2 linked regions of the Canis lupus familiaris genome follow. The protein of the gene in region 2 purifies or fractionates together with the protein of the main gene of each other region. This does not show direct contact. Links are inferred from orthologs where the notes say so. Each region holds a gene or a part of one and is shown on either strand. Other genes may lie near its edges.

Region 1 (7,873 bases), on a different chromosome or scaffold from region 2:
CAGGCTCCATGCACCGGGAGCCCGACGTGGGATTTGATCCCGGGTCTCCAGGATCGCGCCCTGGGCCAAAGGCAGGCGCTAAACCGCTGCGCCACCCAGGGTTCCCTTGTTCAGGTCTTAAGTATCTCTGGTATAGGTACTAACCCCTGCTCTGTCCAATTCATCTTATGGCCTAGTTTTTCTAAAGCACAGCTCTTATTTATCACTCCTCTGTTCAAACTTCTATGGTTTACAACAGTAGAACAAAGCCCAAACTATACACTGAAGGCTATATGCCAAGAACAACCAAGATATATCTAGTTTCAACTTACCTTTATAATCATATTTCCCACTTCTTCAATTCAATCTCACTAGATCCTTTTATATCTTTAGCCCTTCCTCTAAGCTCCAAACCGAACAACTGCCTATCTGAAATCCCCCAGATATCTCAAAAACACTAAATTCTACTCTACCAAAATTGAACTCTTTGCTATGCCTCCTAAATCTAGCCCAGGTGATTCCCATAATTATATAATCTAGATATCTAGAAGTCATTCTTAGCACCTCCCCATCCCTCACCCCTATTTCCAATCTATTGCCAAGTCCTGTAGATTTTACTTCCTAAATCTTTCCTAAATTTCTCCCCATCTCCTCTACTACCCACTTCCTAAATGATCTACCTGTATTTCTAAGGTCCTCCTCCAATCTGTTCTCTATATCGAAGTCAGAAATAACCTCTTAAAAATGCAAAAAAAAAAAAAAAATCACATCACCAAACCCCCTCTTGCTTACAATTTAAAATGGCTTCCCTATAGTTTGGCCTCAGTCCACCTCTCTCATCTTCTCTCAAACTTGTCTCACCTTGGCTCTCTATGATCTAGCCACACTGATGTATTTTCTGTCCCTCATTCTCATCATTCTCCCTCCTGGAAGGTTCTCTTCTCACCCCTGGCCTTATTGTTCAAGTCTCTGATCACGCGTATTTCCTCAGAGAAAGCCTTTCTTGACCTGCATACCTAGGTCAAATCCTCCATTACTAACATTCAGAGTATTGCTCACCTCTCCTTCATAGTACCTGTCACAGATGCAATTTTATAACTGATTATTTGATTAATATCTATCCACTCCCCCTCCATTAAACTATAAGCTCCACAAACAAGGCATCCATGAGTTTTATGTCTGTTTTTATTCACCATTGCATCTGCAGAAATGAGCACAGTGCCTCGGACTCACTATTTTTTTTAAATAAAAATAGATGCTGTATAGAGCCTTTGCTTTCTTCTTGTCTTGCTCTTGTTCTGGGTAGTAGTTCTTAGTAAAATGTTCAAACCTTCCCTATCCTAAAATTCAGCTCAAATATAATCCTAACCTCAAACCTTCTCCAAGATTCATTCAACTTGTACATCTCTCCTTTCACTGAAATTCTAGTGTGTGTATATATATACTTCTAGTAGATACTGTATTTATATACATCTCTAACAGAAGCAATTTGTATCATGTGTTAGTTATTACTATACATTTTTCTTCTCCTTTACTTGACTGAGGACTTCCTTAATAGGCTAACTTCTTTTGAATTAACCTTTTTATCCTCAAGACATTCAAGAAAAGTTCCCCAACATCTGAACGAACACATGATTAGTACATATCACAGGTGTGGTAGAAGGACATATACAGTGTTAAAAACCTAAGAAACTCAAAATATCTCTCTGGAAGGATACAAAATAAACAGGTAACACAGGTTGCCTCCAAGAAAGGAAACTAAACTGGGTAGCTGGCAAAAAGGGCAAAAGGAAGACATTTTGCTGATATTATTTTGCTTCTTTTACTTGTTGACTCACATGAACACATTACCTAACACACTGTTTAATGAATCTTGACTCATGTAAATATATCTATTACAGACCAGTTACAGATAGGTCTTAATTCAAAATAAGTAAAAACAGTAAGCTTTATGAAAAAATAAAAACTAAATAAAATGGGGCAGCCCAGGTGGCTCAGCGGTTTAGCGCCCAGGGCGTGACCCTGGAGACCCAGGATCGAGTCCCGCATCGGGCTCCCTGCATAGAGCCTGCTTCTCCCTCGGTCTGTGTCTCTGCCTCTCTCTCTATCTCTCTGGTCTCTCATGAATAAATAAAATCTTTTAAAAATAAATAAATAAATAAATAAATAAATAAATAAATAAATAAATAAATAAATAAATAAATAAATCGTATGAAGCCTACCTGTTTTTAGGCAAAATAGGACAAAACTGCAATGTTCTGAACAAAACTCCCCCCTGCTTGGCAGTCTAGTTTCAAAAAGGGTATCTACCCTTTTTAGTTATTAATGTTATTTCTTATGTTTACACATCCTAGGGCAGACTTCATCCTCTCTCCTATATGCTCTGGGTGACTGCTACACTGAAGAGCTGTTATCCATCCGACTGAATTCAACCTCAAGGCCTTTGTTTATAGGACATTGCCTGAAGAATCTTCTCAGCCCTACCATAACCTGTTACTTGAGATTTTTATTTGTATATGAAGGAGGCAGGAATATGCCCAAGAATCTAGGAGGAAAAAAGGCAGCAAAACCAGAATGAGCACATTAGAAGACAGATGGAACAGAAGAGGCACAGCAGCAAGAGGTGAAACTATGAGAAAGTTGGCAGGGAAGTAGCCAGTAACATGGGGACAAGGCAGCATTAGGACGGTTCAGTGGTGCGCGTGGGGCGGTAGGGGACGTTTTATTAAAGGCTGTGTGGGGCAGCCCCCTGGGTGGCTCAGCGGTTTAGGCCGCCTTCAGCCCTGGGCGTGACCCCGGGGTCGCGGGATAGAGACTCGCATAGCGCTCCCGGCATGGGGCCTGCTTCTCCCTCTGCCTGTGTCTCTGCCTCTCTCTCTGTGTGTGTGTCTCTCATTAATAAATAAATAAAATCTTTTAAAAAATAAATAAAAATAAAGCCTGTGTCTTGGGATCCCTGGGTGGCTCAGCGGTATAGAGCCGCCTTCTGCCCAGGGCTTGACCCCAGGGTCCGGGGATAGAGTCCCACGTCGGGCTCCCTGCATGGAGCCTGCTTCTCCCTCTGCCTGTATCTCTGCCCGAACCCCCCCCCCCCGCCCCGTGTCTCTCATGAATAAATAAATAAATAATAAAATCTTTAAAAGTAAAATAAAAATAAAGCCTGTGTCTTGGGATCCCTGGGTGGCTCAGTGGTTTAGCGCCGCCTTCGCTTCAGCCCAGAGCGTGACCCCGGGGTCCCAGGATCGAGTCCCACGTCGGGGCTTCCCCGCATGGGGCCTGCTTCTCCCTCTGCGTCTCATGAATAACTAAATAAAATCTTAAAAAAAAAAAAAAAAAAAAAAAAAAAGCCTGTATCTTCAAAGTTAGCAGAATGTCTAGGACCACACTCACCTATAAGCCTGAAACGTAATGGAGGGAATTAAAGAAAACTTGGGCGAAAAGAGGAGGGAGGGAGGGAGGGAGGGAGGGAGGAGAGGGGAAACAGTCACAAATCAGAGGCTGGAAAAGGTGAGGTGTTAGCAAAGATCTTAGCAACTAAGCCGGTGTCCAGGGAGCTGAGATGATCTAACAAGAAACGGGGTAAGAGCACTGAGGGGGACGGTGGTGGCGGGGAGGGCCTGCCCGTCTCCGCGGGAGAGGACTGGACGCTGGAAGCAGTGATGGATGGGGACCGGGGACTGCCAACTGTCCGACCCTTTAAAAAGTGTGCAGCGCGGAAGTGGGGCGGGTTACGGAGCACGAGTTCGCAGAGAAGAGGCTCTCTGCGGACGGGGAGCGCAGCGCTCCCGGGCTCGCGGGAGAGGCGCCGCCCCGGGCAGCCGGCGGCCGGGCCCTCACCTTGGCCTTGTAGCTGGGCAGGTTGCAGAGGATGTCCGTGCGCAGAGCCTCCTCGGCCAGGCTGCGCGCGCAGAGGCTCCGCCACACCTCGCTGTTCTCGTCGCCGTGCAGGCAGCGGTACCAGTGCTTGCACACCAGCGCGCAGCTCCGCAGCTCCGACAGCTCCAGGTAGGAGAACACCAGCTCCAGCACCCGGCTGGGCAGCCGGCCCCCCGGGCCCCCGCCGCCGCCGCCCGCGCCCGCGCCCGCGCCGCCCACCGCGCCGCCGGAGGCTGCCCCAGGGCCCGGGGCCGGCGCCGCCATCGCCTCACCAGCCGGCCCGGGGGCCGCCGCCGCCGCCGCCGCCGCTCCCCCCCGTCGTCGCGGCTGCGGACGCCGCGCCTCGCTCGCCGCCCCTTTCTCAACCGGCCGCCGGCCCTCCGCCGCTCCCGCCCCTGCCCGGGGGCGTCCGCCGCGCGCCCCGCCTCCCTGAGGGCGGACGCACCGGCCGCACCGGCGTCCCCCGCCCCTCCTCCCCGGCTCAGCGCGGGCGGCGCCACCGCCCGACTCGCACGGCCTGCCCGCGGCGCGCCCGGGGCTCCGCCATACTGGTTGAGGGCACGCAGCGAGCGCGCATGCGCAGCTCTTCCGCGGCGCCCGTCGGCCCCGGATGTGACTGTCGCGCCGGCGAGTGAGGTCATCTCCGGGCGCCGAGGACGGAGGCGGGAGGCGCAGGTAGGAGGCTCGCGCTGTGGCTGCGGGACTGTCCTCCGCTTTGGTCTGGAGTCGCCTTGCTGGGCCCCTTTCCCCGTGAGGTGTCCCCGTGAGGGCCGCTGCCTCAGATCCACCCTCCCGCGCGGAACTGCCCTCTCCTCGCCCTCCGGCCCCCGGCCCCGCCGCCGTCGGCCGCAGTCCGAGCGCCTCCGTGACCCGCAGCCGCTGAAGCCGCCTCCTGGTCCGGCCCCTTCGCGCTCGGCTCGCACCGGTACTTCTCAGGACACGTGTCCCAGCGCGTGTTCGGCAAGTCGGGTCGTCGTTAGGAGCCCTGCCCCCCCCCCGCCCCCGCCCCCAGTGCTCGCGAGCCCGTAGGTGCTTCATTCTTCTGCACGAAGTGGGGCCTTCCCCGGCCTCTCCTGCTAACCCGATTCGTGGGCCGATGAAGTAATCGTGTTTTGATATAATGAGACATCCCAAGAGGGAGGATGGTGTGGGGGCTGTGGTGCTAGATGGCTCCTGGAAGCGGAGGAGTTGAAGCATCATTGGGTCGCACTGCGTTCTCCAGGCGGCCGAGAGCTGTCTGACGCCCTGTAAGGGATGCTTAGGGAAGCAGTGAGCATCCTGTGGACGGGCACTGCGTTAGGCTCCTTCACCTGGGTCTTATATATGATGTTTTTTTAAGACTTTATTTCTTTATTCATGAGAGACACAGGCAGAGGGAGAAGCAGGCTCCACGCAGGGAGCCCGACGTGGGACTCGATCCCGCGACCCCGGGGTCACGCCCTGGGCCGAAGGCTGGTGCTAAACCGCTGAGCCCCCGGGGCTGCCCTTCTGTATAATTCTCAGACAACTCTGCAGTGATTAGTATCGGGTCCACAGACTCCCTTGGTAGTGAACTCCACTGTGTTGCCTGTATGTAATAAGAAATATTTCCAATAGTTCCCCTGCCGTGTATAATACATTTATAGTCCTTCGCTTAAAAGAACAGCTACTACCTTTTCTACTCTCTGGTAAATGGTGTTTGATGATTATTTGCCAGTCCCTTCCTCCCAGATGTTTTTTCACCCCCAGGTGTTTTGTTGTTTTTTTTTTTTTTTTTCTCCCAGTTTAGTAACCCAGATTCTTTACTTGACCAGTGCTAATAACCACAGCCCTTCAATCTTTTTTTTTTTTTTTTAAGATTTTATTTTTTTATTCATGAGAGACAGAGACACAGGCAGAGGGAGAAGCAGGTTCCATGCAGGGAGCCCGATGTGGGACTCGATTCCAGGTCTCCAGGATCACTCCCTGGGCCTAAGGCAGATGCTCAACCCCTGAGCCACCCGGGCTGACCCCCCTTCAATCATTTTGGTTGCTATCCAGCTTTTCCACATCTGAACCAACTTTGGAAAATCCAACCATGTGAAGAAAAGTTAACTTAGACTTGCTATAGTGATAGTAACTACCTTATATTATTTGAATGTTAGTATAATCTCAAGTTTGGGAGTTTTATTCATTATTTTCTCTTTGTTGTTGTTGTTTTTTTAAGATTTTTAGCTATTTGAGAGACAATGAGCATGCATGAGCAGAGGGGGAGAGGGAGAAGCACACTATCCTCTGAGCACGGAGCTCAAGGTGGGGGCTCCATCCTGGGACCCTGAGATCATGACCCCAGCTGAAGGCAGCTGCTTATTAACCAACTAAGCCACCCAGGCGCCCCTCATTATTTATTTTTCAACTTTTAACTATAGGACATCCAAAGAAGGATGTCCTAATTTTGTCTGGGAAGGCACTTAAATTTTTTTGTCTTTTTTTTTTTTTTTTTTTTTTTTTTAAGTAGGCTCCACACTGAGTGCAAGACTCAAACTGATGACCTTGAGATGAAAACCTGAGCTGAGATCAAGAGTCTTACTTAACTGACTGAGCCACCCAGGTGCCCTTCTTTAAAATCTAGAAGAAGGGGATCCCTGGGTGGCTCAGCAGTTTAGCGCCTGCCTTTGGTCCAGGGCAAGATCCTGGGGTCCTGGGATGGAGTCCCACATCAGGCTCTCCCCATGGAGCCTGCTTGTCCCTCTGCCTGTGTCTCTGCCTCTCTCTCTTTGTCTCTCATGAATAAATAAATAAAATCTTAAAAAATAAAAAAATAAAAATAAATAAAATCTAAAAGGATAAGTAGAATTGGTCCATCTGCGAAGGGGACAAAGAACCAGGCAAAATCAACAGACTTAGAGGTATAACACTTGAAAAGGATATGTGGGCACATGGAAGTATAACTAAAGCAGTATTTGGAGATCATCAGTTATTAACAACTTTGGCATTTATCCTGCCAGTCACGGTATAGGTGAGGAAGGATCTGATGAGATATTAATCTAGTCCAGTCATTGAGGTGCCTCTGTGGCAAAGTACTCCCCCTTCCCAAGTGGCCCAGGCAAAATTTCAAAATAGGAAAAGATTTTTTTTAAGTAGGATCCATGCCCAGGGTGGAGCCCAACTCGGGACTCAAACTCCTGACCTGAGATTAAGAGTCAGATGCTTCACTGACTGAGCCACCTAAAGATTTTCTTTAGGACTGGATCCTTTTGTTTCTACAAATCACCCTCCTGACCTTGCCCTTCCCCCATATTTAATACCCTTTTGCCCTCTGACCAGAGTTTCCATGTTTCCCTCCACCCTTTCTAAAAATGCTCTCAAGATACCCCACCTTTCCCTGCCCACTCCATGATCTCACTAGGTGTTGAAGGAATCTATTATCTAATTACAGTAATTCACAATAGGATATGATTAATTGCTGTGCTTGACCTTTTAGACATTACCTATGAGCAGCTTGTTGACCTGATACCTGAATATGTAGATAATGTCACTTATATGTATTTTCTGGCTTTCCACTCCCAGTAAGAGAAAAACAAGAAATAGTGGCTGGACAGCTCATTTCTGAAAGATTGTTTTGATTTAACCCAGATTTAACTACATTTTTTTTCCCCACTGTCTTCTACTACAGTAGTCTTTTAATATGTTTTGATGATGGTCTTTGGGTATGTTTTAAATAATAAATAATTCTGTAGACTAAACAAGTGATTTGAGGGGCTCTGGTTGCTTGGTGATCAGTAGTCTACATGATAAGATTAGAGATCTCTTTTTATTTTTCTGACTAGGTTGGTGATCAGTAAATATCCATGTGATGTAGAGATTAGAAGTTTAATTTATATTTTACACTGGTCCATAGAGGTTAAGGTAGAGCTGACCTTGGCCTTGTGATATTAATAGATACTACTGGTTCCATTGTGGAAAAATTTATAGGAACAGTGCTTTTGCCTATAATAGTTCCTTTAAGTACAAGATCCATATATTGCCTAATTTCTCGCACTTTGGGGTAAGCTTTACC
Region 2 (7,384 bases):
GGATGTTTTACATCAGTAGGCAGGAAATGAGGCTCCTGACCTCTGTTAACATCATCATTGCAGCCCGTGCCTTTCTCCCAGTCTCTGAACCATGCCAGCCTTGAGTTGCCATTTGGAAGAAGAAAGGGATCCCACGGCGGGGGAGGGGGGGGGGGAGTGAGAACCTAGAGGTCATCCTCATGGCACCTGGGGCACTACTTCAAACTCTGAATTGTCTCAGTGCTAACCTCTGCAGGATCACAGCCACAATGTCCTGCCTGGGGCATGCGAGAGGGGCTCTGACCTCCCCCTAGCAAGTGAAGAATGGCACAGTTTGGGGAATGGACAGTTCTCCCCAAATTTGCTTTTTCTTGTATTAAAGAAAAGCAATTTTAATACAATCCCGGGGATCCACCAAGATAAGATCTGCCCTCATTTCATTCCAGACATCTTCTACTGCCCCTGTTCCTTTTCTTCCTGTCCCTCCCCGCCCTCACACCGACTGTATACAGCCAACCTGGCTCCCTCTCATGGGTTGTGGACTACATGTGGCATGAACACAGAGCCCAGCAGAGTAACAGGGGACACCAAACAGACAAAAGATGTCTGGTTTCTCTCGGATCTGCTCGTGTAGATCCTCATAATAAACTCCAATCACAGATAAACTTCACATCCTTCACAATGTCACATTCCCCAAGGAATCCGGTTCCCTGATTTCTTTTCTTGGCCTGGGAGTGTTTTGCCCAGATAAGGACTCTTCTGTCGGTCTCTCTCCAGGTGTCATCTCGCGCATTCGAGGTCTTTCCTAGCCTTCCAAAAAGCATCCTTTCTTGGATTCAGAGGGTCACTATTTGGGATTTCCTCTAAGCTGTTGAGATCTCTTGATTTCTGAGGGAAACCTGGCTCTGGCCTTTCTCCCCATCACACCCACCCCTCGGACTCGCATATGCAATGCCCTATACAGGAGCAGCTGGATGAGACATAATTTAAAAGAAAGATGCCAGGTAAAGGCTGAAAAGAGTGGAAACCACACGTTACGTGGCCAGTATCATGAGGAACCAGGGGATAGAGACCATGTGATATGAAGCCTTAAGGGTCAGGGAAACAATATCCTTTTCTCAGGCTCTACACTTGCTGTGTGACCTTAGACCAGCCATTTAATCCAGTGGACCTCTGCTCCTTTATCTTTTAAAGGAGAATGTTGAATCAACTAATCTCTGAAGCTTTGTTTCTTTTTTCATTTATGATTTCACCATCCTTAACCAAACACTGAGAACCAAAAATAGGATCTTCATTCCCTCCTCTGGAGATTATTTCCATAATCCAAAAGGAATAACACTCTACTGGTTGCTACTCTGACATGCTCTTCTATTGAATCCAGTTCCCTTTCCTGGAGGCTATGGAAGACTGTCACAGACATGAAATATGTGCTGAAGAATGATGTCCCTGATGTCAGATCTCACCACCACCCCCATCCTGGGCCATAACTGGTACTAGATTTTCATAAAAGTATCCTGTTGCTCAGGGACCCATTCTGTGAAGACAACTGGAAACCCAAGAGCCAGGGACTAGATGAGAGACACAGAGCATAAGAGAATAATTTCCTTTTGGCTCTCAAAACGGAGCATGACTGAGACCAGAACAGCTAGAACAGTTTGTCAAAACCATTTCCAGGAGCAGCGGAGGAAGGTAAGAAATTACAAAAAGGGTGAAACAACTTAGTGGCTCTTAATGCCCTGCCTGCCATGACCTCTGCTCTCTGAACCCACTCCCCTGCCAGACGGACTTCCTCAGACGATGACTGTGGTTTCTGGGCTCTGGAGGAGATAGGATCAGCTCCAGAAACAAGACCGAGGTACTGTGTTTCCAGAAGAAACTGACCTCGGGTGCCACCTGCATCACCGCAGCAAGAATGGGTAAGGACCATCAATTCCCATTAGAGCAACAAGCCGCTCTTGGTCATCCTTGACTTACATCATGACAGAAAAATCTCCCAGCCACACAGGCAAGAGATAATTCCAATTAGCAAAGATCTCTAGGGTTGAGTGAATCCCTAGCATGTTTTATTTCAGAAATGGCTGCATTATTAGGATTTGGCCTTGACTATGCGATTCTTCTCAGATGCAGGAATGTGGCTAGGTATGAGCTCCAAGGGCTTAGGTAGAGACCTGAAGGTTCCTTGGACACGCTGGGCTGGCAGAGAACAAACTCTGCCATCAGTCACAGCCCAAAGGAGGAACCGTACAGATGCCACCAGGATATGAGGGTGGACTGGCTCTGTGTGATCACAGGCCCGGAGCATCGGGAAAATGGTCTTCTGAACCTAAGGAAATGGACGCAAATTCTTCTGAGAAACCCTACTATTCCCAGACTTGCCTCCCAGGGTTTGGAACCTGAAGGCCTCAGTCCTGAGCCTGGCCCGCACCTGCTGTGTGTGTGGGGGGCGGGGGGGGTGTGTGGGGTGTGAGTGGGCAGGTGGCGGCGGCCTGGCCTTCCTTACTGTGTGGCTGTCACGCAGGTGCTGAGCGCTGAGGCTGGCCATGGTATCCTATCCAAAGGGAAGTTCACACCACAGGAGCGCATCAAGACTACAAACATAAAGAACCATGGACACGGGTTTCATCCAAATTCTATGAGGAGTGAACAACACCAACACCAACCAAACAAAACCAAACCAAAACGCAAGAGAAGGAAAAAAAAAAGAAAAAGAAAAAGAAAAGAAAGAAACATAGCCCTTCATGGTAAAGGGCATGCTGGGAAGGCGAGAGCCAGAGCCGCCTCCCCAGAGCATGCTGGGAGGACGGGCACTGGAGCCGCTCTCTAGAGCATGCTGGGGGACAGACACCAGCACGTCTCCGGGGACTGCACTTCCCCCAACTCCCACCCCTATTCCCTCACCCACCCCCAACCCGGAGACCAGAGGGGAGTCTGTCCGAGGATGACAGCTGAGTAGGGTATGCTGTGGTTCTCTGCAGGTCCCCCACACCGTGGAGGGTTGAGTCGGCAGGTGGGGAGAACAGTCAAGACGAGGAGTGGAGACACAGAGAGGCAGGAGAGGAACCAGGGGACAGAGACTGGAGGGGCCAGTGTGTTGGCGGAGGACGAGGGGAGAGTGGAGCCGAGGGCCGGGTGGCTGCTAGCCCGAGGCGTTGATGTACAGCTGGCTCTTGAGGATGTAGTCGATGACCGGCTGGGACAGGTAGTCCACCACGTGGCCGTCCCCGTGCTGCAGGGCCAGCCTGGATGGGAAGAGACGGGGCTCAGCTGACCCCCTCCCTGACCCAGGCTCAAGGGCCTGGCCCTCGCTTTCAGGGAGAGGGTTTACCCGCCACCCCAGCCCCTGCCTCTGCTTAGGCTGCAGGAAGGCTGCATAGGTTCCCCAATGGGCAGAAGCTCGCTGGCCCCAGAACTGCGCCCCGACCCCGGTGACTCCATTCCATCCTGGCTCTGCCATTTCCTCGCACAGGCGCCCCTGGCAGGTTATCGAAGCCCATCCGTTCGTTTCCTCCTCCGTAAGATGAGGGTAATATGTGGGCCAATCTCCTTCACTTATGAAAAGGATTTTTAAAAACATAAAAGGATGAAACGAGTCATGCAAAGAGCCTTTAGAAGAGCCCAAACACACAGTAGGTATTTAAATGGGTTAGCTACTCCTATTTCATTCCTTTGTGTTTCTCTGCATCGTGGTCTCAGGAACATGCATCTCCTGATTGACCACTTCTCTTCCTTCCTACTGGAACCCTGACAGAGAAGAAGGTGACCTCTTCTGAGGAGCTTCTCACAAGCCCCGGTGGCTGTGGAGGAGGGTACCTCCAGGTACGAAAGGGATCCAGTGATGGATGAGCTTCGGCTTCTTCATAGTTGTCCTCTAGCTGCGGTCTGGCTGCTTCCCATTCTCTGCTCCTATGATAGTCTTGGGAATGTCAGGCCCCAAGGAGCTATTTGTAAAAAATGCACATACTCTTTCCAGAAATGTAGATTCTGCAAGGCATGTGAGCCCTGCCCTGTGAGACCTCTTCAGAGGCTGGCCCGCTGCCTCTTCAGTGCATACACTCTCCTGATCTTGCAAGCACACGAGGTCCCTAAGTGTCTCCCTGCACAGCTCATGGGGAAGCTTCTTGAAAAAGTGGTCTGTACCCATGGTTTCCAAATGCCAATCCCAACTTGATCAGAATCACCCAGGAAGCAGATTCCTAGGCTCATCCACCACAGATGCCAATTTGGTAGGATTGAAGAGGACACAGGAATTTGTGTGCTTGTGTACGTTTGTGGGGTAATTTTGTTGTGCAGCCATGTTTGGAATCAAATCCCTCTCCTCTCCCCTCACTGGCCATTGTCATTGGGTTTCAACTCTCACCACACAGTTTGATGCTACTCTTTTAATACATAATCACCTTCCAGGGAAGAAGTCCACTGGATCTTTAAAAATGCTGGACCCATCTCATTTCTCTGAAATATGTGACAGAGATGACAGTGATGTACATCTTTGTGCCTCTCCTGCCTTGGTTCTTGGGCCAGCACTGCTCCTTAGCCTTAGGCTCCTTAGCCTTCTTTTAAATGCTGCCCTTCTTATTGACTTTCCCTGTGAGCTCAGCCACACTCTTAACGTAACTTACACTTCTGTGCTCATGGCTGTCAGTTCTATTCCAGTTCCAGAGCTCTATATTCATATATGTCGCCATTCTACTGGACAGTTCCATTTGGGGTGGAGACTGTTACCTGGCCCCTAGCATCCATTCTGTCCTTCTTCTATTTAATAGAACCTGAGTTTAAGCTGGGCACATAAAGTCCATTTCCCAGGCTCCCTTAAAGCAAGGTATGGCCTTGTGACTGGGGCTGAACTGGTAGGATGTAGGGGGAAGCGATGTGTACAACTTTGAGTCACTTTTTTAAAGACAAGCTCCTGCTCTTTCCAGCAGTCATGACAGGAGCTGTGGACCAACAGACAGGGGCTTCATGTTGAGGAGGTCAGAGATTCAATCTCTTTTGACTTCAGTAAGAGGGAAGTAAACATTTCTCTTATTTAAATTGTGACTATTTGGGCTCTTTTTTTAATGCAGCTTAGCTTGTACTCTTATTAATACAGTATTTTATAAACACTTCAAACTAAAGAGTCTCAAATTAAAAATATCCTCTTCCTCCTGCAAACCAACTAAAACTAGCTAATGACACCCCCCCCCCTTAAAAGTAAATGACTGATGGAGTGCCTGGGGGGCTCAGTCGGTTGAGGGTCTGACTCTTGGTTTGGACTCAGGTCATGATCTCAGGATGGTGAGATCAAGCCCCATGTTGGGCTTTGTGCTGTGTGTGGAACCTGCTTAAGATTCTCTCTCTGCGCTCTCCCTTTGCACCTCCCCCACTGCTCGTGTATGTGCTCACTCTCTCTCTCTAAAAATACCCCAAAACATATAAATGACTAGGGACAAATACATAAAGTCCCCAAAGAAGGCTGAATATCAGGCAGCAGGTGTCAGCAAATGTAGGGGTCAGCTGGAACTGAGGAAAGTTGTATTAAAACTTGTAAGCCCATTTGACCAAGGTTCCTCTGGCAGTTTGTCAAACATACCTGCTCTTGGTTGAGCTGACAACAGACATGGGATGGTTGATGTCATCCTTCACCACCATAATGTTATTCTGGGGACAGAGCAGAAAAAGTAGATTGCCCGCCTCTCACACTGAAACTCTTCGGGTGCCCTCACTCCACCAGCACACCATCCCCCTGCCCCCGCAGGCCCCTGGGAGAAGGAACGCACCATACAGCTAGAGCAGCAAGGAGGTGGAGGACTCACTTTGTATTTGCGGAGTATTGAGGAGTGATTCATGATTCGGTCTGTGTCAGCTGCATCCCGGGGCACCACCACAATCCCAAAGTCCCCCACGATCACCTCCATCTGAAAAAACAGAGAGAGAGAGTGTCCTTGGGTGAGACCATGACTCCAACCCCTACTGAGCAGCCACTTAGCGGGTAGAATGATCTTCCACATGGAACCCCAAGCTCTGGTGCTACGCTTGCCTTTTCAACCCTACCAGTCAGCTCTTTCAAGTAATAACCTGTAACAGTGTTAGTGGAATGAGTGGGAACTTTGCCTGGCACAACAGAAGATGCTTAATAAATACCTCTAGACCGAATGAATCAATGTGCTCTTGCATGTCTGGGCAAGAGCTCTCCAATTCCTGAGGTTCCTGTTGAGTTCATTATGCTAAAAGTAATAGGAATGACACATAGTCTTTACACGGTAGACGCCCTCACAGGTGACACAGTTCCCACTGCCCAGCAAGCGTACCCCCAGCTCTCAGCCACGCAACTGAGAAAGGGTCACCCATGCCAAAGCTGTTGGGGACTCAAGGGTCATGAGGAGCATGCAAGGGCTTGGAATGCCTGTGTGAGCATGGCAGTGATGGGAAGAAGATTACTATGAGGTCACTTCTGAGATCAGCCTCTTTATTTATTATGCTTGCTGCCATAATGAGAAATGAAGACTTTACATTAAGAATAAAATGATTTTTTTCTGGTTATAGACACAGTACAAACTCTGGAAATTCAGGAGAAAAAAATCTATCACAACCACACGACCTGGACAACTACTCTGAACATCATGTATTCCTCTCCAGTGTTTTCTTCTCTACACAAAAATGTTATTTTATCTGTATTTTTTACTTAGCATGAAATTGTGAGCATTTTTTCACATTGTTAAAAATTATTTGAAAAAATTAAGTTTTAACAGTCTGATTATTTCATTGTCTGTACTATGATATATATGATATATTAAACCAATCTTGTATTACAGAATGTGTAGAGTTACTTCTGAGGAAGTAATTTTTTGCAAGTATACATAACATTTGGTTGAAGATCTTTATATATAAATCTTTTACCACATCTCTGCTTGTTTCCTTAGGATAAGAAGTAAAATAATTAGATGAAAGGATATAAACTGAACATATTTCAAACTCTTAAGACATAATACCAAGTTGCTTTCTGGAACCTTGTGCCAATTTTTATTTTCAAAAAACCTGAAATTTATGGCATTTAATAGACTTGGATCTAGCCCGGGCATATTGCTGTTTAGATCTTGCCAATTAAGGATCCTGGATGGGGAGAGAAAGGAGGGGGGAGACAAGTTGCTTCTAAGGAGCACAGTTCATTGTGCAAGACCTGCTGTGGTGGCAAGGGGCCCAAGTTTTTCCTTTGAATAAGTACCACAAAAACAGACACTATGGAGCACTGTGGCCACTTTTTCTCTATCGGACAATTTCTACCTGAGCAGAATGCCACTCCTCAGTTTGATTCATTGATCATGTTCGAGTATGTATGTATGTGTGCACCCGTGCATGTGTACACATGCCCTTGGGTATTTCCATCACCTTTACCCTACTTCTCCCATTGCTTATAACTGGAGCTAGTTGC

The links.
Region 1: the proteins of NMNAT2 (region 2) and FBXO45 purify together in Homo sapiens (co-immunoprecipitation; 3 studies listed by BioGRID and IntAct, with this or other methods). This does not show direct contact. The link is inferred for Canis lupus familiaris from reciprocal best matches to the Homo sapiens genes NMNAT2 and FBXO45.

What each region holds. Positions count from the first base shown.
Region 1 is NC_049254.1:30,322,515-30,330,387, reverse strand, and holds the start of FBXO45 (F-box/SPRY domain-containing protein 1), read right to left. Parts: upstream 4,120-7,873; coding exon 3,817-4,119; exon of another isoform or gene 3,797-3,816; intron 1-3,796. Other genes in the region: WDR53 (WD repeat-containing protein 53), read left to right, coding at 4,952-4,956. UniProt on the Homo sapiens protein: Component of E3 ubiquitin ligase complex consisting of FBXO45, MYCBP2 and SKP1. Functions in substrate recognition but also plays an important role in assembly of the complex.
Region 2 is NC_049228.1:16,509,672-16,517,055, forward strand, and holds part of NMNAT2 (nicotinamide/nicotinic acid mononucleotide adenylyltransferase 2), read right to left. Parts: intron 5,871-7,384; coding exon 5,769-5,870; intron 5,614-5,768; coding exon 5,546-5,613; intron 3,219-5,545; coding exon 3,116-3,218; 3' UTR 1-3,115.